Linked DNA regions of Rattus norvegicus. The protein of the gene in region 1 interacts with the protein of each later gene in a pairwise test. Links are inferred from orthologs where the notes say so. Each region holds a gene or a part of one and is shown on either strand. Other genes may lie near its edges.

The links. The genes of interacting proteins can lie anywhere in the genome.
Region 2: the proteins of Kash5 (region 1) and Traf3ip3 interact in binary tests that used the Homo sapiens proteins (3 or more experiments, as listed by UniProt). The two-hybrid records come from large-scale screens. The link is inferred for Rattus norvegicus from reciprocal best matches to the Homo sapiens genes KASH5 and TRAF3IP3.
Region 3: the proteins of Kash5 (region 1) and Senp2 interact in binary tests that used the Homo sapiens proteins (3 or more experiments, as listed by UniProt). The two-hybrid records come from large-scale screens. The link is inferred for Rattus norvegicus from reciprocal best matches to the Homo sapiens genes KASH5 and SENP2.
Region 4: the proteins of Kash5 (region 1) and Bet1 interact in binary tests that used the Homo sapiens proteins (3 or more experiments, as listed by UniProt). The two-hybrid records come from large-scale screens. The link is inferred for Rattus norvegicus from reciprocal best matches to the Homo sapiens genes KASH5 and BET1.
Region 5: the proteins of Kash5 (region 1) and Ppp1r18 interact in binary tests that used the Homo sapiens proteins (3 or more experiments, as listed by UniProt). The two-hybrid records come from large-scale screens. The link is inferred for Rattus norvegicus from reciprocal best matches to the Homo sapiens genes KASH5 and PPP1R18.

Annotation. Positions count from the first base shown.
Region 1 is NC_086019.1:104,807,683-104,810,749, forward strand, and holds part of Kash5 (protein KASH5), read right to left. Parts: intron 2,989-3,067; coding exon 2,924-2,988; intron 2,770-2,923; coding exon 2,682-2,769; intron 2,425-2,681; coding exon 2,308-2,424; intron 1,822-2,307; exon of another isoform or gene 1,747-1,821; intron 813-1,746; coding exon 754-812; intron 1-753. UniProt on the Homo sapiens protein: As a component of the LINC (LInker of Nucleoskeleton and Cytoskeleton) complex, involved in the connection between the nuclear lamina and the cytoskeleton.
Region 2 is NC_086031.1:107,241,651-107,245,231, forward strand, and holds part of Traf3ip3 (TRAF3-interacting JNK-activating modulator), read right to left. Parts: coding exon 3,418-3,581; intron 1,000-3,417; coding exon 852-999; intron 771-851; coding exon 707-770; intron 483-706; coding exon 458-482; intron 213-457; coding exon 183-212; intron 20-182; coding exon 1-19. UniProt on the Homo sapiens protein: Adapter protein that plays essential roles in both innate and adaptive immunity. Plays a crucial role in the regulation of thymocyte development.
Region 3 is NC_086029.1:92,487,886-92,491,716, forward strand, and holds the end of Senp2 (sentrin-specific protease 2), read right to left. Parts: intron 2,657-3,831; coding exon 2,561-2,656; intron 590-2,560; coding exon 527-589; 3' UTR 506-526; downstream 1-505. UniProt on the Homo sapiens protein: Protease that catalyzes two essential functions in the SUMO pathway.
Region 4 is NC_086022.1:33,074,658-33,078,238, forward strand, and holds part of Bet1 (BET1 homolog), read right to left. Parts: intron 1,953-3,581; coding exon 1,828-1,952; intron 1-1,827. UniProt on the Homo sapiens protein: Required for vesicular transport from the ER to the Golgi complex. Functions as a SNARE involved in the docking process of ER-derived vesicles with the cis-Golgi membrane.
Region 5 is NC_086038.1:2,882,325-2,885,905, forward strand, and holds the end of Ppp1r18 (phostensin), read right to left. Parts: intron 2,070-3,581; coding exon 1,862-2,069; intron 854-1,861; coding exon 834-853; 3' UTR 46-833; downstream 1-45.

The sequences.
Region 1 (3,067 bases):
CACGTGGGCTGGAGGGTATGTTGAGTCCCCAGCCTTTTGCAGTCAGGCCCCAGCCCAGTCCCATTTTGGGCTCCAGTGTTTGCCGCCCTGAAAATGTGTTAGTAGCAGTCCTACGCAGGGGGCGTAAGTCCCATCTTCCCTCCATCCTGATGACGTAGGAGGAGGTCACATTGATCAGAGCCCTGAGCCAGCCAAATCTCAGCTCTGCCCAGACAAGTCCAATTAGAGGTTGTGTAGGGGCCTCATTAGCTGTGGCAGCAGGAGTCTGGAGGAGGGGGGCACCACAGGAAGCTGAAGGCGCTGGGACTAGACATCCAGCACTTTCCATTCTTACTCAAAGCCTGAGTAAGGCCTTATGATACACCATCATCAGTCACAGAGCTGGACTCCCAGGACCCATGAGGCTCACACCATTCCCTTTATGGGTGCCCAAGACTGGGTCTTAAGCTTTTTCTAGGGCTGGGAAGCCTCAAGGCCCCCATCAGTATTTTCCCAGCACCTCTTGCTCCTGTGAATCCAGTCTGATCCTTGGGGTACCTCCCAGAGCCCCTGACCTCCCTAGGGTCCATGTGCCCATCCCTTGTTGGAATTGCCAGGGTCAGGATGTACTGAGGGCAGGCCCAGGGTTCTGAGGCAGTCATAGACTAGATGGAGGAGGGGGATGTGACTCCTGCGGGGTGCCACCATCCTTATCTTCTGACAGCCAGAACTACATCACTGTGACAGAGGAAGGACTGTTAACTTGCTCCTTACCTCAAGCATGGAGTTCTGCTTCCTTCTAGAGCATGCACTGGCTCTCTCTGGAAGTCTGTCTGCAGAACATCAAGATTTGGTCTCCTGGACTCTAGGCTTCTGACCCAGTTCCAGCAAGGTACCCCCTACCTGAGGTCTAGACTGGTGTAGATGGCCCCCAAGGGTACAAGCTTCTAAACTTTCTGTGGGCTCCCTCTCAGCACCCACAGAAAGCCAGATATGCCATAGGTACGAACTCCTCAGAAGTAGAGATCAGTGTTCCCAGGATGTCCCCATCTACCAGCCTGAGTCAAGAGGGGGCTCAGTATCTTCTTCCCTCTTCCCTCTCGGGGTGGGTCTCTGGATGTCCCTGCTCATTGTTATTTTGCTCTGAGAGTCTTGTAGCCCAGGCTGGCATGAACTCGCTAGGTTACAGAGGATGAGGATGACCTTGAGTTCCTGCCTTCCTGTTTCTACTTCCTGGGATTTGGGGTACAGCTGTGGGGCTGCCTTGCACCCTTCTTTTCTTTTCGATAGGATCTAACTCTGTAGCTTAGGGTGGCCTCAAACTCATGGCAGGCCTCCTGCTTCAGCATTCCCAGTTCTAGAGTTGCAGTGTGAGTCACCACTGTCCATTCCTAGTGATTGGTGACCTCCAGGCTTGTGCACCTGGCTACTTCTGGAGGCCCTGGATGTCCTACAAGATGCCACCTCACCTATAAACTTAATATCTTCCCTCACCTCCCTTCTTGGCACTGCCCTTCTGCCCTGTCCCTACCCTGCCCACCCTTACTCGAAGTCAGAGACAAACCCTTTGCCGAGTCACCTCCTCATTCAGTCACCTGAGCATCCTGAGACCACTGTGTGGTATGTTCCCAAGGGTCTCGGGTCCTAAGACAAGGTCACTTTCCGTCTATTGTCCCCCACCTGGAGCAGACATCCCTTGCCATCCCAGGCCAGCTGCTACCTAAACTTGCTGGCCCACTTGGGGTTCACGTGCCTTGGGTGACTCACCTATGTACAGGGACAGCTCAGGAGTACACAGGGCTTCTGCTCAGTGGTGGGGTACTTGCCTAGCATAGTGTAGACCTTGGGTAGAAAGACCCCCATTGTTTTCTGAAACAGAGCCACTGTGCAGCTTAGATTCATTTTAGTGCTAAGCCTGTCTTTCTTTTTGCTTTCATTTTTATTATTATTTTTTTAAAGACAGGGTTTCTCTGTATTCCTGGCTGTCCTGGAACTCACTCTGTAGACCAGGCTGGTCTCAGAGATCTGCCTGCCTCTGCCTCCCCCGTGCTAGGATTAAGGGCATGGCCACCATCACCATGCAGTTTCTAAAAAGGCCCTTCGTGTCTTTCACAATATGTTCAATCATAGATGAGCACATCGTGACAGGTGTTTCTATGGGGCAGCTTGAGTTTGCCTGTCCCTTGAGGGCAGGTGTGTGTTCTGTTGGCTGGGGCTGGACGCCCAGCCTGCATCAGGCTCTCTGTAAGCTCAATGAGTAGACGGCACAGGAAAGGGGCAGAGGGTGGTGGGGCCCCTGGACTCCTGTGGCTTAGCCTCTCTGTGTACCTGTCGCCTAGCAGGGTCCTCAGAGGGAGACTCGGCCTCCTCCTGTGGTTCAGCCTCTTCCCACTGCCACAGTCCACACAGAGGACTGGAGAGGCCAGTACTGGCTGCATCCTGCCCCTGGAAGCAGAAGCTGCATGTGATCCTGGGAGGGCCGGAGAAGAGTGGGAGCCCAGGCGGGATGGAGGTGTGGGGCACAGGTGTGGGCTGGGACAAGAGGATGGCTCGGTGGAAGGTATGCAACAGGTACGGAGGGAATGGGTGAGGGGACCAGATTGGTGAGCGATGATGGTCAGGAGCATGGCCTCCAAGTTCTCCTGGCCAGAGTGAAGGTCTGCTGGGGACACGTGGAGAGCTTCCGTGGAAGCAGGGCCTACCTGCCGGAGAGCCTGGATCTCCAAGTCCAGTGATGGGGGCAGGGCCATGATCCAGCCTACTCTTCCTGCCTCAGCCCCTTCCAGCAGCCTAGCCGCATACAGGGGAGGGAGGCTTATCTTCTGTCTTCACCCTGTGGCCCAGCCCTCTCCTGCCCCTGTCATGCCCGACCATGTGCTTGAGCCTCCCCTCCACAGTGAGCCATTGCTCACTCAGCCCCATTCCCGCCTGAGCATCCACTCACTCCTCTGGGCCTTCCTGGCTCTGACTCAGTTGCTCCTCCAGGTTTGAAATTTCTTGCCTTAGCTCCTACAAGAAGCAGAGCATGGGCCCTCGTGGAACCCACATACTCCTCTCTCCAGACACATACTGCCAATGACCAGGGTGA
Region 2 (3,581 bases), on another chromosome or scaffold:
GCTCCCTTTGTAAGGCTTCCTAGAGGAGGAATGCAAAAGGAAAGATTAACTTGGAGGAAGAGTAGGTGGAGAGTTCTCTCTCTCTCTCTCTCTCTCTCTCTCTCTCTCTCTCTCTCTTTCTCTCTCGTGTGTGTGTGTGTGCGTGTGTGTGTGTGTGTTTGTGTGGTCACCATGATACTTACTTTGAGGTATTCAGAGAGTTGAATGATGTCCTAGTGAGAGAGATGAAAGAGATAATTCAGGAGGACTTTGGTGTAGAATCAGAGTACTGGTGGGCTCACATATAGCAGATCTCTTTTGCCTTGGATCCTTCTGGCCCCACATCTATGCTGAGGACCATCTAGTCATCCTGGAAGAAGGTGTCCCTTCACCCCAGCCTGAGTTTATCGCAGAATCCCAGACTGGTAGAGCTTAGGTGCTGTCTGAGCCAGACCCCTCCAAATGAAGGTTCTCTTACCTTGTCTAGGACGGCAACTCCACAGCTGGGAAGAGAAGGAAAATACGACAGTGGGTCAAAGGATGAAACCTGTGAGCAGGCAGGATGTCAGCTGCATCTGGCACCTCTGCTGAAGTATAGTGGTGTGGGAAGGACTTTTCCCTCCTCATTCGGGGTGGGCTCGGTGTCCAGGAGAGGTGTTCCAAGTAAACACTTGGAGGAGTAGATGAGATGTGAAACTTTGGGGTCAGGAACATAGAAGGAACTCACTTGGTTTGCTGACTGGCATCATTCTTTCTTGTTGGCCATGCCTCTTCTGCCTTTGTCTGAGTACCTGAGAGATGAGAGGATGATTCAGCATCCAGGGGAGGGATGGGGGAGCTGGACTGCCATTGCAGGTTGGCTGTGCTCTCACCCTGGTGGTGTCTGTGTGGCTTCATGGTGTCAGAGTCCTGTGGTGGAAAGGCTCTTCCATGGGAAACATGGTGGTCATCCAGATCTCTCTGGATGCCTGAGGGGGGATGACACAAGGCTGGGAAAACCTCGGAGCATATCCCTGTTTCCTGGAAAGCAAATGAAGGATGAAGGATGCTGAATGCTATTCTGAAGGGCCTCAAGTTTTCCAGACAACTGCAGAAAGAGGGACCAGGGGCTGGGGATGTAGTTCAGTGATGGGGACTTGCCAGGCACGTACAAGACCCTTGGCTCCATTCTCAGCATTGGAAAAAAAATAGTAATCGCATCTGTGTGCACTGAGCGGTTTTCCTGAAACTCACATGTTGAGATTCTAACAGTGTTGGGAAATGGAGCCTTTGAGAAATACTTATGTCTGAGTGTGGGGCCCTGATGAATGAGGTTAATGCTCTACCAGAAGAGCCATGCAGGAGCTTGTCTCTCTGCCTGCTCTCTCCCCCATGAGTGGACACAATGTATGACCATCTGCACACAGGACGGGTGTCCTCATCAGATTCCAGACACCCTGGAGCCTCGAGTTTGGGCTTGGGCTTTACAAATAGTGAGAAATACCTTTCTGGGCACAAGCTATTCTGCCCATGGTAACCTGTCATGGCAGTTTGAGCAGTATTTCCCACCTAGAAACCCCACTGGTTCTTTCTTGTCCTGGACAGAGAGAATGTCTCTTCTTGGTCAGACAAGGAGTCAGTCTTGCTTCATTCTCTGAATGAAGCTATATGCTGATTAAGAGGGAGAAGTGGTCAGAGACTTGACAGTAGTCAGATCTGGCCTTTTCTAGGCCTCAGAGGTCCTAGAGGGCCTGCCTGCCTCTCCTTAGAGCCACAGGACCTTTGAGCTTTCCCACTGAAGAAGACAGAGTAGGGAACTTGTTTGGGGGATGGGATGGTGGTGCTCATAGGTTAGTCTGCTCTTTTTATCTTTTCTTCTATAAAATAAAAACGTCTATATTGATAATTCAGCACTAAAAACCCAAAGAGTGTTTATGGGATTCCATCATGGGCTGACCTGATAACTGTAGGCAGGAAGTTATTTCACTGTTTTCTGTTCTATCCTTCATAGCCTGCCCCCCTCACCCAGGCCTTGTTACCCTGTAAGCAGGCAGCTGGTTCTTTTGCAGTTATGTTCCTGGCTGGTTGTTCTGGGCAGTTGTGTGGCAGCCTCATGAAGGGGCCAGAGACAGTATAGTCAGTGAAGTGCTTGGCTTGTAACCATGAAGCTCAGAACCCATGGTATGTTTTGTTTTGTTTAAAAAGCCAGGGTGGTGGTGAGTGCTTGTGATTCCATTGCCAAAAAGGTGGAGCCAGGCATCTAGATCCACTCAGTATCAAAAAACAGGGAATGATACCTGGAGTGAACCTTTCGATTTCACATATAAATTCATGGGCGTGCACACACACACACACACACACACACACACACACACCCACACACACACCCCTGCTATATGAAGTACCTATTCTTGGTATGTGTGGCAGTAGCCAGTGTTACATGGACCCATTCCTCTCCTCAGTGTGCTGACAATATAGTGGGATAACAGAGTCTGCTATTGTGAACACTGCTCCTCCTAGGCCATGCTAATGGACTTTCTGTACATTTATGCAATATTAACCATGCAGACCCAAGAGAGCAGAGGTGGCCTGAGTTGCCAGAGAAGGCTGATCAGATGAGGCTTCAGTTGGGTGAAGTTGTTAGGACTGAAGTGTCACAAGAGAAAGAGAAGAGTGGGTGTGAAGCGTTATTGGAGAGTTAAGAGGGTGTGCGTGTGTTGTGCATGTGTGTGAATGTAAGTGTGTGCGCGTATGTGTGTGCATGTATGTATGTGTGTATGTGTGCATGCCTGTGTCTGTGTGTGCATGTGTATGTGTGTGCATGTGTCTGTATATGCATATGTGTGGATGCGAGTGTGTGTATGTGTATGTATGTATGAGTGTATGTGTGCATGTGTCTGTGTGTGTATGTATGTGTCTGTGTGTGCATATGTGTATGTGTGTGCATGTGTCTGTGTGTGTTAGTGTGTTTGCATGTGTGTACATCCATGTGATGCATGTTGGGTTATAGAACTGGGGATGTGGCCCAGTGGCCGAATGCTCACCTACCATGCATAAGGCCTTCAGCATTGAGAGAACAAAAGGAGCGCTGCATAGAATCTGATTATGATACACCTGTAAACCCAGTTCTCAGGAAGGATAATGAATTTGAAGCCATCTTGGATTATATAGCAAGGCCCTATCTCAGAAAAAAAAAACTTATACCAGTTAGTTTTGGCTTGAAATTGCACAATTATTTCCATTCTTCCAATAGGCAGGTGTAGGACTCCCCCCATCCCTCAAAAGAAGTTAAATAAAGACACCACAGAATCTCCAAAAGAGCAATGGTCGATGGCTAAAGGAAACCTGTTTGTATGCTGAGGAAGGGGCTAACAGAAATCGATTGTTAGTGACTTTCACCCCTTGTACCTTGCAGACCCCCTACCCCTGGGCCTGGAGCAGTGACTCGTCATATCGCACCTGCTGTCCAGGGAAAGAGGTCCTGTTGGCTCCAGGCCCGGACTTCTTGAGGATAGACACTTGGCCTGTTCCTCCATCTGTCTTGCTGGAGGGCCTTTGCTCCCTGGATTGACCTTTCTTCTCTTCTTCCAGGTTTCTCCTTCTGAGGAACTGTAGCTGCCGAG
Region 3 (3,831 bases), on another chromosome or scaffold:
CGTTCAGTTCCCGGCACTAGAGAAGCTGGCGAACACCTCCCTCCCCCTGCGGACATCTCTGCAGCAGGGAGTGGCAGTTTGATTAACATTCTTTTCAGAAATAAATAGTCCAAACAAATTATTTATAGCTAATTATAAAAGAGCAGTGGGAAAGGGCACTGCCCAGTGTTTGCAAATGAGTGAGTGAATATGTGTGAACACACAGAGAACAATTCATATAACAAATCCTGCATTTCCCACATTCATATGGAAATAACGCCTTAAAACAAAACATTAATTAGTATGTGTCCTTGTATGGGGCGAACAGTCCAGGGCTCTGAGCAGGCACAGCCTTACAAACAGGGCTGCAAGCAGCCCCTCCACACCTCTCGTCAGGGCCACTGTAGAGAGGCCTCCATGCACTCTGGAGAGCTCAGTACCTGTGAGAGAAGAGAAATGATGGGGACTTTTCAACCCACAATGCATGAGGTATATGGAAACATCCATGAAAGAACCACCAGCAACTAGAAGACCAGGCGGGGCATTGTCACAGCAACTGCTGGTGAAGGATTTCCCACACCATCTTCTTCCGGAAGAGAGGCATCTGGTGCTGAAAAGAACCACAGCGGTGTTAGACACTTCAGTGTACAGCATGGCAGCCTTAGGTGTCAAACAGAGTGATGCACATGTCCTCTCCATGAGCCTCCCCATCTGAATCACGTACACGTGTCTAAAGCACAGTGGGGTTGATTTCTAGTCAAGGAGGCCTTCCTGAATTCCTACTTCTTGACCATCCTCTCCAGGGCTGGGATTACAGTCATGTGTCACCACGTTTGACAAAGGTTTTGTTTTTGTTTGTTTTGTTGTTTGAGGAGGGAGGGTCTTGCTAACAGCTTAAGCTGTCTGTGCTCACAAGCTTCTAGTTCCCCAGCCTCCACAGTGCTGGGATGACGAGTGCCACATACCTAGTCTATGCGCATACATTAGGGCATTAATTACCCTACATGTGCATGTGCACTCACATGCTAAGAAAACCAAAGCAGATGCAGAATCATATACCACAGGACAAGAGTAAAAACAGGCACCAAACTAGAAATGTCCACACAGTGGCACAACAGAAAACTTTTCTACATTCTAAATGAACATCATTTAAAAAATCAATTTGTTTTTATATTAAAAAAAGTAACCTTAGAGCAGGAAGGTATGGTTCAGTGGTAGAGGTCTTGCCAAAGTATTTATGAGGTCCTGTTTTCAATTTAAATGACTTTTATTTAAAAGGTGAAAAACAAACATCTACAATTTTATTTCTGTTCTACCACAATCAATTATGTTCCAAAAGCTGCTTATCCCCATGAAATCTCATGTCACATACAGAAAAACCAACGCCTTGCTACTTATATTAGTCACACCTATAATCCCAACACTTTAGAAAGCAGTTAAGATATAAAGATCATGAGTCTGAGGCTAGTCTTGCTCCACAGTGTCCCTGTATCAATAAATAAAACCAGAGACTAGGGTTGGGAGGGGAGAGTCTCTGTGCTCTCAGGGAGAATCGATGGCAGGTTCTCAGAGCAATGAAACATGAAGCTCCCAAAACCACCTGTGACTCAGACACCCAACCCCATGCTTGGGAAAATTTGAGTTCCAGCTGGGCGGTAGGGGTCCGCACCCTTCACCCCAGCACTGGGAAGGCAGAGGCAGGCAGATCTCTTAGTCTGAGGACAGCCTTGGCTATGCAGAGAAACCTTGTCTCAAAAAAAAAATCAAAACTGCAGTTCCCGTCTGCCTGGGTCCTGAGGCACTGCTATAAGTAGGCGGGTCTATCGAGCTCCACATTATAAACTGCCGAGTCTATGGAGGTGTGTATAGCAAAAGTCTTAATTGAAATAAAAATCACAGGGTTCTTTTTTGCCTCCCTAGTGCTGGGATTAGAGGCATGCACCACCATGCCCAGTAAAACAGCTGAGGTTAACCAGTAGTGAGTGCTTTCTTTGAGACTGGGAAGATAGGATTCAGCAGGGGAGTCCAGTTTACTTCATGTCCCCAAAAGCATTTAGTTCTACTATTCAATAACTACTTTGTTTGGCAGCCAGGAGCTATCAAATAAAGATCTAGGAATGAGAAATAATTTTAATTGGCGTTAACTCTGGCTATACAAAGGGAGACTGGGTCCACTATCACACAGAAATGTAAGGTCTCTGATGTACCTGTGTCCTCCCAAGCACACCACCTTGCAGGAAGGAAAGACCACTCACTCCTGCTTCCACCTTAGACTCTGGGGCGAGCCTCACAGGCCCAGCTCCCCTGCTGTCAGCTATTCTCACACGCCTCTCTCCAGCTAAAGTAACAGTTACACACATGAACCAATCAAAAATGGAATTCAAGGACAAGCAAGTTATCCCACTGGTCATTAGAGAGCAGGACAAGCCTGAGAATACATGCTACAACAGAGCACACAGGACGCTGCTTCTGAGAAGAGTGGGCCTCACCCAAGGCTCTTAGCAATTGTACCGTTCATTTGAAGAGCCTCAAGTGTGCCAGGCACTGCCAAAGCAGAACACAAGAAGCAGCCCAGACTCACCTGAGTGAATGTGATAGGTTTGTCCCTAGAAATATAATCTGCGTATTTACAAGTAAACATTCCACAATCACTCCCATTCAACTGTTGAGGAATCTCCTAAAACCAAATAAACAGAAAAGAAGAGGAGGTAAACTATCATTTCAGATGTTCTTTAGTCTCTTTGTAAACAGACAGTGGGAAGCAGCACAATAAAGGTCAATAAGTCTGCTGTTGCACAAACACGGATGAACACACAAGCACAACCCCTCTTATTCTTTGTGGTGTAAAACACTGGCCACGGTGCAGTGTATGAGACCCCACAGAAACACTTCATAGAAGAAAGAAGGGAGAGATGTACTGAAAAGCAAAACAAAACCCACCCCACATGGTGAGGGCTGAGAAAAGAAGACCCACATTTTGTTTATCAGAGATGGCTCAGCGGTTAAGAGCACTGACTGCTCTTCCAGAGGTCCTGAGTTCAATTCCCAGCAACCACATGGCTGACAACCATCTGTAATGGGATCTGACACCCTCTGCTGGTGTGTCTGAAGACAATAATGACTGTGTACAGTGTACTTACATAAAACAAATCTTTTCAAAAAAGAGAGAGAATACTAGTGACTGTGTGTGACTTTAACAGTGGGTGCAAGGCTATCTCTGACTCTGTTCCCTGCCTTTGGACCCATTCCCACTACTGGGCTGCCTTGTCTAGCCTTAGGAGGAGGAGATAGTCTCACTGCAACCTGATATGCCAAGGCTCGTTGATATCCATGGGAGGCACCCCTTTTTCTAAAGAGAAGGGAGAAAGGGTGGATGGAGTATCGGGGGAGGTAGGAGGGAAGGACTGGAGGAGAGAGAAGGGAGGGGAAACTACCGTCTGATGTAAAATAACTAATTCATTAAAAAACACCATGGACATTTCAAAAGTATTATCAACTTTAAAAGGGGGCTAAGAAAGGGTCAATTAGGTAGCTATGAAGTACAAGAATCTACGTCACTACTGCAGAGGTCACATACTCTTAACCACCAGGACAAATGCCCGCTGCCAAGGACCCCTACAGTTTCAAGTGAGATGAGTTCTGTCCCTGAGGCAGAAACACAATTGGGAACAGGCAGCTCTCAGAACATCACAAGGGAAACCCATATGGCGTAAGTGGTGTGCTCAGGACAGCACCCCAGTCTTGGCTGTTCACATAAGGGGTATAGCAGAACAAGAATGCGGGAGGGAAGGCTTACTCCATCGCTGAGTCTCATACTGGGTGACAACAGCTTCCCTTTGACTCCCAAATGCA
Region 4 (3,581 bases), on another chromosome or scaffold:
TATCAAAAACCAATTTTGAGTACAACCTGAATACAACCTTCCAAAGACTGATATTAAATACCAATTACATGTGACAATGTGGCTTCTACTGAATGCTTAACAAGTGTGTAGTATGTTCATTGCCATGGAAATCAATGACACATACTTTTAAAATCATTTGTATAATTCCTTTAACAGAAGTTTCCTCAGTACTGCCGAGAAGGAACTACACTGAATTCACAAATGATCTTTGTTTTATAGAGAAGAGTTGATGCCGGGTGTAGTCCTAAGATAAAGCATGAGGGGCAGATCCAGCACTGGCAATCTTCCTGAAGGGAGGGAGGGAGGGAGGGAGGGAGGAAGGAAGGGAGGGAGGGAGGGAGGAAGGAAGGAAGAAGGGAGGGAGGGAGGGAGGGAGGGAGGAAGGGAGGGAGGGAGGAAGGAAGGGAGGGAGGGAGGAAGGAAGGGAGGAAGGGAGGGAGGAAGGGAGGGAGGAAGGGAGGAAGGGAGGGAGGAAGGGAGGAAGGAAGGGAGGGAGGGAGGGAGGGAGGAAGGAAGGAAGGAAGAAGGAAGGAAGGAAGGAAGGAAGGGAGGGAGGAAGGGAGGGAGGAAGGGAGGAAGGAAGAGAGGAAGGAAGGAAGGAAGAAGGAAGGAAGGAAGGAAGGGAGGGAGGAAGGAAGGAAGGGAGGGAGGAAGAAGGAAGGAAGGAAGGAAGGAAGGAAGAAGGAAGGAAGGAAGGGAGGGAGGAAGGAAGGAAGGAAAGAAGGAAGGAAGGAAGGAAGGAAGGTGACAATACCAAAGGCAGTTTGAGCCTTTACAAACATGGAAAAGGGCATAGCGGTATGCAGCGTACAAAGGACACTTCTCGTTTGTCTCGCTGTAAATCCAGGAGAAGCTGGGGAGAAGCTCTGACGGGCGGGCCATTCTCTGAAGAACATAGAGAACAATCAGTCTACAAGAGTTTTATAACAGGAGGATCCAAAGACTTCTGAGAGGGCAGGAGGCACTTTAACCAAATTCTACCAATAGCCATGACAACATTATGAAGACCAGCAGGAGCTGAGACAGGCCCAGGAGTTCTCCCACGGGTCTGAACATAAATGTCAGGGCCATGCTAGGGAAGCATGGGAGGGGCCAAGATTCAAATGAGGCTCAAAGATGGAAGTGAGAAAGACGTCAGTTTTATATTTTAAGCCACTAGCAGACAAGCCGGAAGGGCTATTTCACTGGATCCCCCAATGCTCTGACAAGTGAAATTATTGGAAAATAAATTAAAAATGTCTTGTCCTTCTAACAGTGACATTTTCTTCCTCCCTTCCTTACAATATTCAACCTACTTGTTAACATTCTCTGGTTCTCTTATTCTAGCACATTTTATTTTCTCTTTTATATATTTACTTGTATATTCCTTACATTTCACAACTTACTAGTACCACAGGACCAAGTCAAATACACACATATGCATTTAATATTTCCCAATCAAAATATGACATTTCTTTGATTATAAGTCTAGACTGGTTAAATAATTTTTCTTTATTACAGTAACAAATGAGGGAAAAGAACAAGTTAGAATTGTCTATAGCCTAAAATTATACAGAAAGTATGCCTGGAACTGTTGGAACTACTGCATATAATGGATTTATTTAGATCTTGCTAGGTATGGTTTGAGGAACAAAATTAAGCAAAAGTACCACATCTTTTAACTTGCCACATCTTCTAACTTATTCAATGAATGGTCTGAACTTTTGGTGCACTTTGAGCTCAGTGTACCATTTTGAAATGAATCCCTTCTTGTGATGACAATAAGTTCAAAACTAGGAGTTAAAATGGCACTGGCTCTGTACTTACAGATTTTATAGCTGTTACTTTGCTTCTGAGACTTTCAGTGAGTCTGTCATTCTCTTCTTCACAAGCATTATATCCACTATTGGCATAACCATAGTTCCCATAGCCGCCAGGAGGTGCTCCATCACCTACAAGGTTCAGAGGCACAATGTAGGACTGCAAAAACAGAAGCTACTTTTCAAACCCTAGTAGCTAAAAAATGCTGAAAAAGACCCCCGGACAGCATTGCAGACCACATGTATCTATTATAGCACACTGCAAATCAACTAGTAAAACTCAGAACCAGATATTACAATTCTTTTCACATCCTCTTTTAAGTTGAATATGCATTTTCTTCAACACATATTTATTGACCATGTATTGATTACTTAAAAAAATACTAAAAGAGGCACAGATATACAAGGATATTTGGAAGACATTTGTTGCACACTAGAAATGTTTTAATAAAGGACATAAACATAGCACCATCTACCCATCAGAGAAACTTGGTTATAAGAAGAAAGGGTAAAAGATAATGTGGAGGGAGGGTTCTCATGGCAGAAAGATGGTAGACTTTTCCTAGCACCTTTTACCTATAATACGCAAAGGGTGTAAACCAAAGAACAAAGTGAAGAGAGGGCCATAGGTGAAACCCTGAGGAAGAGACACAATGGCTTGTAGAGACCATTAGCTGAGAGTCTCAAGAAGTTCACTCATCTTCCAACCACTATTTGAGAAGCTACCATATGTGTATCTATTTTCGAGATGATGTGGAAGCCGGAAGAGTCGATTACTGTCTACTATAGTACTTGGCAATCACTGGGAAACAACGGACACAGTACACATTAGGCAACAAATCCATACAGAAATGTTTTGGACTGAGGGCACCTCACCAAGTCTTAATAAATTGATGCCATCATTTTCTCTGTAAAGGAAGAAAGCAGGCTACCTAGTAAAGAAGAATGATCCTTTAGAATAAACAATGAAGAGAAACCATGAAAGAACTGTGACCCAAATCATTCAGTATCACTTGGAGAATAAACATGGCCATGGAAGTATACTGAATTAGCTTCTGTCCTCCTAGATATGAGACTCTCAACAGAACGGCTCCTTGGTCTCCGTCAGCCATTGAGAAGCCACACTGTTGGATGGTTGGATGGTTCTAAAACTGGAAGGTTTAATCAATATTGGGACTGCAGAAGAACGAAGAGTGTAGTATGTATTAAAGGGACTAGATTGTCCATGGTTGGAAGCATATTCTTTAGTGACATAGGAAGCCAGAAGAAAGAGATACCCTTAAAGCTATAGGTGACCATGGGCTCAAACAGAAATGCAGTAGCACTGATACTAAGAACAATCATAGTAACAGTGGACAGAGTAGGTAGCAATAATCTAGTAGCTGAAGGACAGTTAGTTATGTGTGCATGAATAAGAAACTCTTTCAAAGCATAGCACAATTTAATTTTATTGAAGTAGCAAAACTCTTGAATCCTTATAACTCTGACTATATAACATCAACACTGACCTCTACATTGAACTGTAAGAGCATTAACTAGATTTATTCATTGATCATTCTAGATCGCCATAAACACACAGGCACCCCCCCACACACACACAACAGTACTTATGTAAATACTTATAAATGAACTAAAAAGGACAATTTTCCTTTGCGGTTAACCAACTTTGTCTCATGCTTCTCTATGCTCTTGCATATAATGAGCACTCTCTATGTGTCAGATGCCTATATTTCTCCCTGTACAAAAGCCACAACAAAATGT
Region 5 (3,581 bases), on another chromosome or scaffold:
CTTAAAAAAAAAAGAAGAAGAAACAAAGAAAAGGAAGACAGCAAGAGAGTTGAAAAGAGCTCCATTTTATTACGGAAAGTTACAAAAAACGAAACAAACCAGGCAGCTGACCAAGGAGCAATGGGGAGAAGCGAGGCGCCTCCTGAGCGCCCCCCACACTGCAATTCAATTCAATGTGAACCACGTGGAGGAACAGAATTAAATAATTTTCATGGGGTTCAGGATTAGGATCCCCAGCCTGCCCTCTTGGGGGAAACCGAGGCACAGTAATACTGAGCAAAGCTGAAGAAGGTTACACACCTTCCCAAGTCACTCACAATGAAACAAAGGGAAGGTGGAGGATCCCACAGGGGCTCCGCGGGTAGGCATGGCTTGTAAACCTGGGACTCTGCAGGTGGGATTGGGAGCTAGTGGGTATGTAAACCAGGCTGTGATCAAGAGGGAAGCTGTAAACAAAGGGGTAGTGACCTAGAAAAGGGGGTGTTCGTGGATGGAGCGGGATCCCCGGAGAGTGGCTGAGCTTTAAGGAAGGCTGTGAGGCTGGAGGTGCTCCATCTCAATTCCAGATAAATTCTGAATTCCAACCCAGGACTTGATGCTCACTCTTAGCTCACCGAGGATGCTCCGCCCACCGGGAACTTTGGGTTAGGGGTCAATTTAGGCTACCGGCTCCGCCCCAGGAACAGGATGGGAAAAGCAAGTCCGAATTCGCTCGCTTGTCGCCCTTCCCTGCCAGGCGGGCTCACTGCCATGTCTGTCGGCTCTGAATCATCCAAGCTCCAGAATCTTCAGGTGCGAGAAGGAGAGAGGTATATGCCCAAACTCGAAGATGGTCACCGCCGGCAGGACTCATCTGCAGGAAAAGAGGTAATCAATCCAGAGAAGCGGAGAGGGCCTCCGCCTCCCCACGCATCCCCAGAACCGAAGAGTGGCTGGTATAAGAGAAGTCTTTGTAACATGTTGGCTGTGGAACAGTGGTCATCATCACGGTTAACTGGATTCTGTGCTGAGCATCTTGTTTAATTTCACAATCGTCTCAGCAAAGGTGAAGTAATTTAATACCTAGCTATGTATACCTAGGTGCTTTACAAAAATCTACTCAAGTCTTCAAACAACTTCAAGAAGTACTTGCTTGGGGTTGGGGATTTAGCTCAGTGGTAGAGCGCTTGCCTAGGAAGCGCAAGGCCCTGGGTTCGGTCCCCAGCTCCGAAAAAAAGAACCAAAAAAAAAAAAAAAAAAAAAAAAAAAAGTACTTGCTATTATCAATTAAGGCGGGGTACACAACCTTTTTGTTTGTTCGTTTCAGATGGGGTCTCGATCTGTAATAGTCCAGGGTGCCCTGGAACTCACTGTGTAGACTAGGCGGATCTACCCCCGCTTTAGTGATAGGATTACAGGCATGAGTCACTTTTCTCAGCTCAAGGCAGCAATCTTATCGCTGAGCTACACACCCGGAGGCCCAGCACACAACTGTTAACTTTATTTTAAAGGATGATAAATGAAAACTGGGGATACCGATCGGCGGCAGAGCACCCGCCTAGCATGCTCTGGGATCTGGGAGTGCAGGCGCGCACGCCACACATAAGGTAAACGGAAACCGAGCTCGGATTGATTCAGGATCACAACTAAGTAACAGACGAGCTGGAATTCTGACTCCATGCCGCCTGACCCAACACGGGTATTTTTAACCAGATTAGAGATCTGGATAACGAGCGAGCTCTGGTTTTGAAATCTGGAGACTCCAAGTGTGCTGGCTTTCAGGAATCAGCAGATGTAGCAAATTGGACCAAGCTCCTTCAAAGTACCACAAAGCCATGAACACCAGGGGGCGCCCTACGCCAACCACGCCGCAGCCGCTTACCCACGATTAGGGCCTTGGTGCACAGCCCGCCCTGGAGCCCGGGCTGCAGAAGCAACTCCTCCTCTTCCTCCTCCTCGTCATCGTCAGGCTGCGTTGCTAAGGGGGCAGTGGGGGCCTCAGGCTCCGGGCCTAGATCCTCCAGTACCGAGCTCTCGGAAGGGTATTGGTATGTGGTCTCCAGTGCTGTCTCACTAAAGGAGATCTTGAGCTGAGAGTAGGAAGAGAGGGGAGAGGAGGCAAGTTCATCACTAGGGGATCCAGGGAGGGCTGAGAGACCAGAGGCAAGTGGAGCGGGGCTGGGCTTAGGTGCCCCGCAGACCTTCCCTTCCATCCATTTGGGGTTCGGCTTTCCTTTACATCTTGATTATTCCGTCTAATGGCATCATTCAAAACAACACTTAGAGGCTGGGAAGATGACTCAGTGGTTAAGAGCACTCGCTGCTCTTGCAGAGGACCTGTGTTCAGTTCCCAGCACTCACAACCATCTGTAACTGTAGTTCCGGGACCTCTGCAGGCTCCAGGCATACTTGCAGTGTACACGTACACAGGCTTGCAAAACACTGGCTGGGCTGTGAGAGCGATTGTAGCCAGGCCTCTCTGGAACCTTTGACCTTCACAGTGTGTTATGTCAGGTGTCTCTCTGCACCCCAGGTGTGGTGCCTCGAGGCAGCGATTTCAGCGTTCAAGAGGGCTGGAGAGATGGCTCAGCGGTTAAGAGCAGTGACTGCTCTTCCAGAGGTCCTGAGTTCAAATCCCAGCAACCACATAGTGGCTCACAACCATCTGTAATGGGATCTGATGTCCTCTTCTGGTGTGTCTGAAGACAGCAACAGTGTACTTATATAGAGTAAATAAATAAACTTGAAAAAAAATAATTTTTGAGAGAGAGAGAGAGAGAGAGAGAGAGAGAAGATGAGGCAGGAGGATTACACCAAATTCCAGGCTAGCCTTCCATGCAGATCAAACTCTGTCTAAAAAAAGAAAGGGGTGGGCTGGAGAGATGGCTCAGCGGTTAAGAGCACCCGATTACTCTTCCAGAGGTCCTGAGTTCAATTCCCAGCAACCACATGGTGGCTCACAACCATCTGTAAAGAGATCTGATGCCCTCTTCTGGTATCTGAAGACAGCTACAGTGTGTACTTATATATAATAAATGAATAAATCTTAAAAAAACAAAACAAAAAAAAAGAAAGGGGTGAGGAGTTGGAGAGATGGCTCAGTGGTTAAGAGCACTGGCTGCTCTTTCCAGAGGACCTGGGTTCAATTCTCAGCACCCACATGGCGACTCACAACTGTCTACAACGCCAGTTCCAGAGGCTCAGACACCCTCACCCAGGCAAAAACAGCAATGCACATGAAATACAAGAGAGTAAAAGCTGACATTCAGATGGAATCAGGTGACCAGTCTGGGGCTAGCCTGATCTACATAGAGACCTTGACTTTAAAAATAAGCACACACACACACACACACACACACACACACACCCCAAAAAAGAGACTTTGCCATGGCAACGAGGTAAGTAAGGCAGAATTCGGGTCTCTATCTTTCACTGCTGTGAGGCAGAGGTATTTAAAAACAAACAATCATGAAGTCAGATGGGCACTCCTGACTCAGGATTGGATGACAACGGAAAGGTTTAGACGAGCCAAGGGATGCCCAGCATACAGAAGAGTCCCTAAACATGCAACTGCTTGTGAACAGACAAGGAGAGAGAGCAAA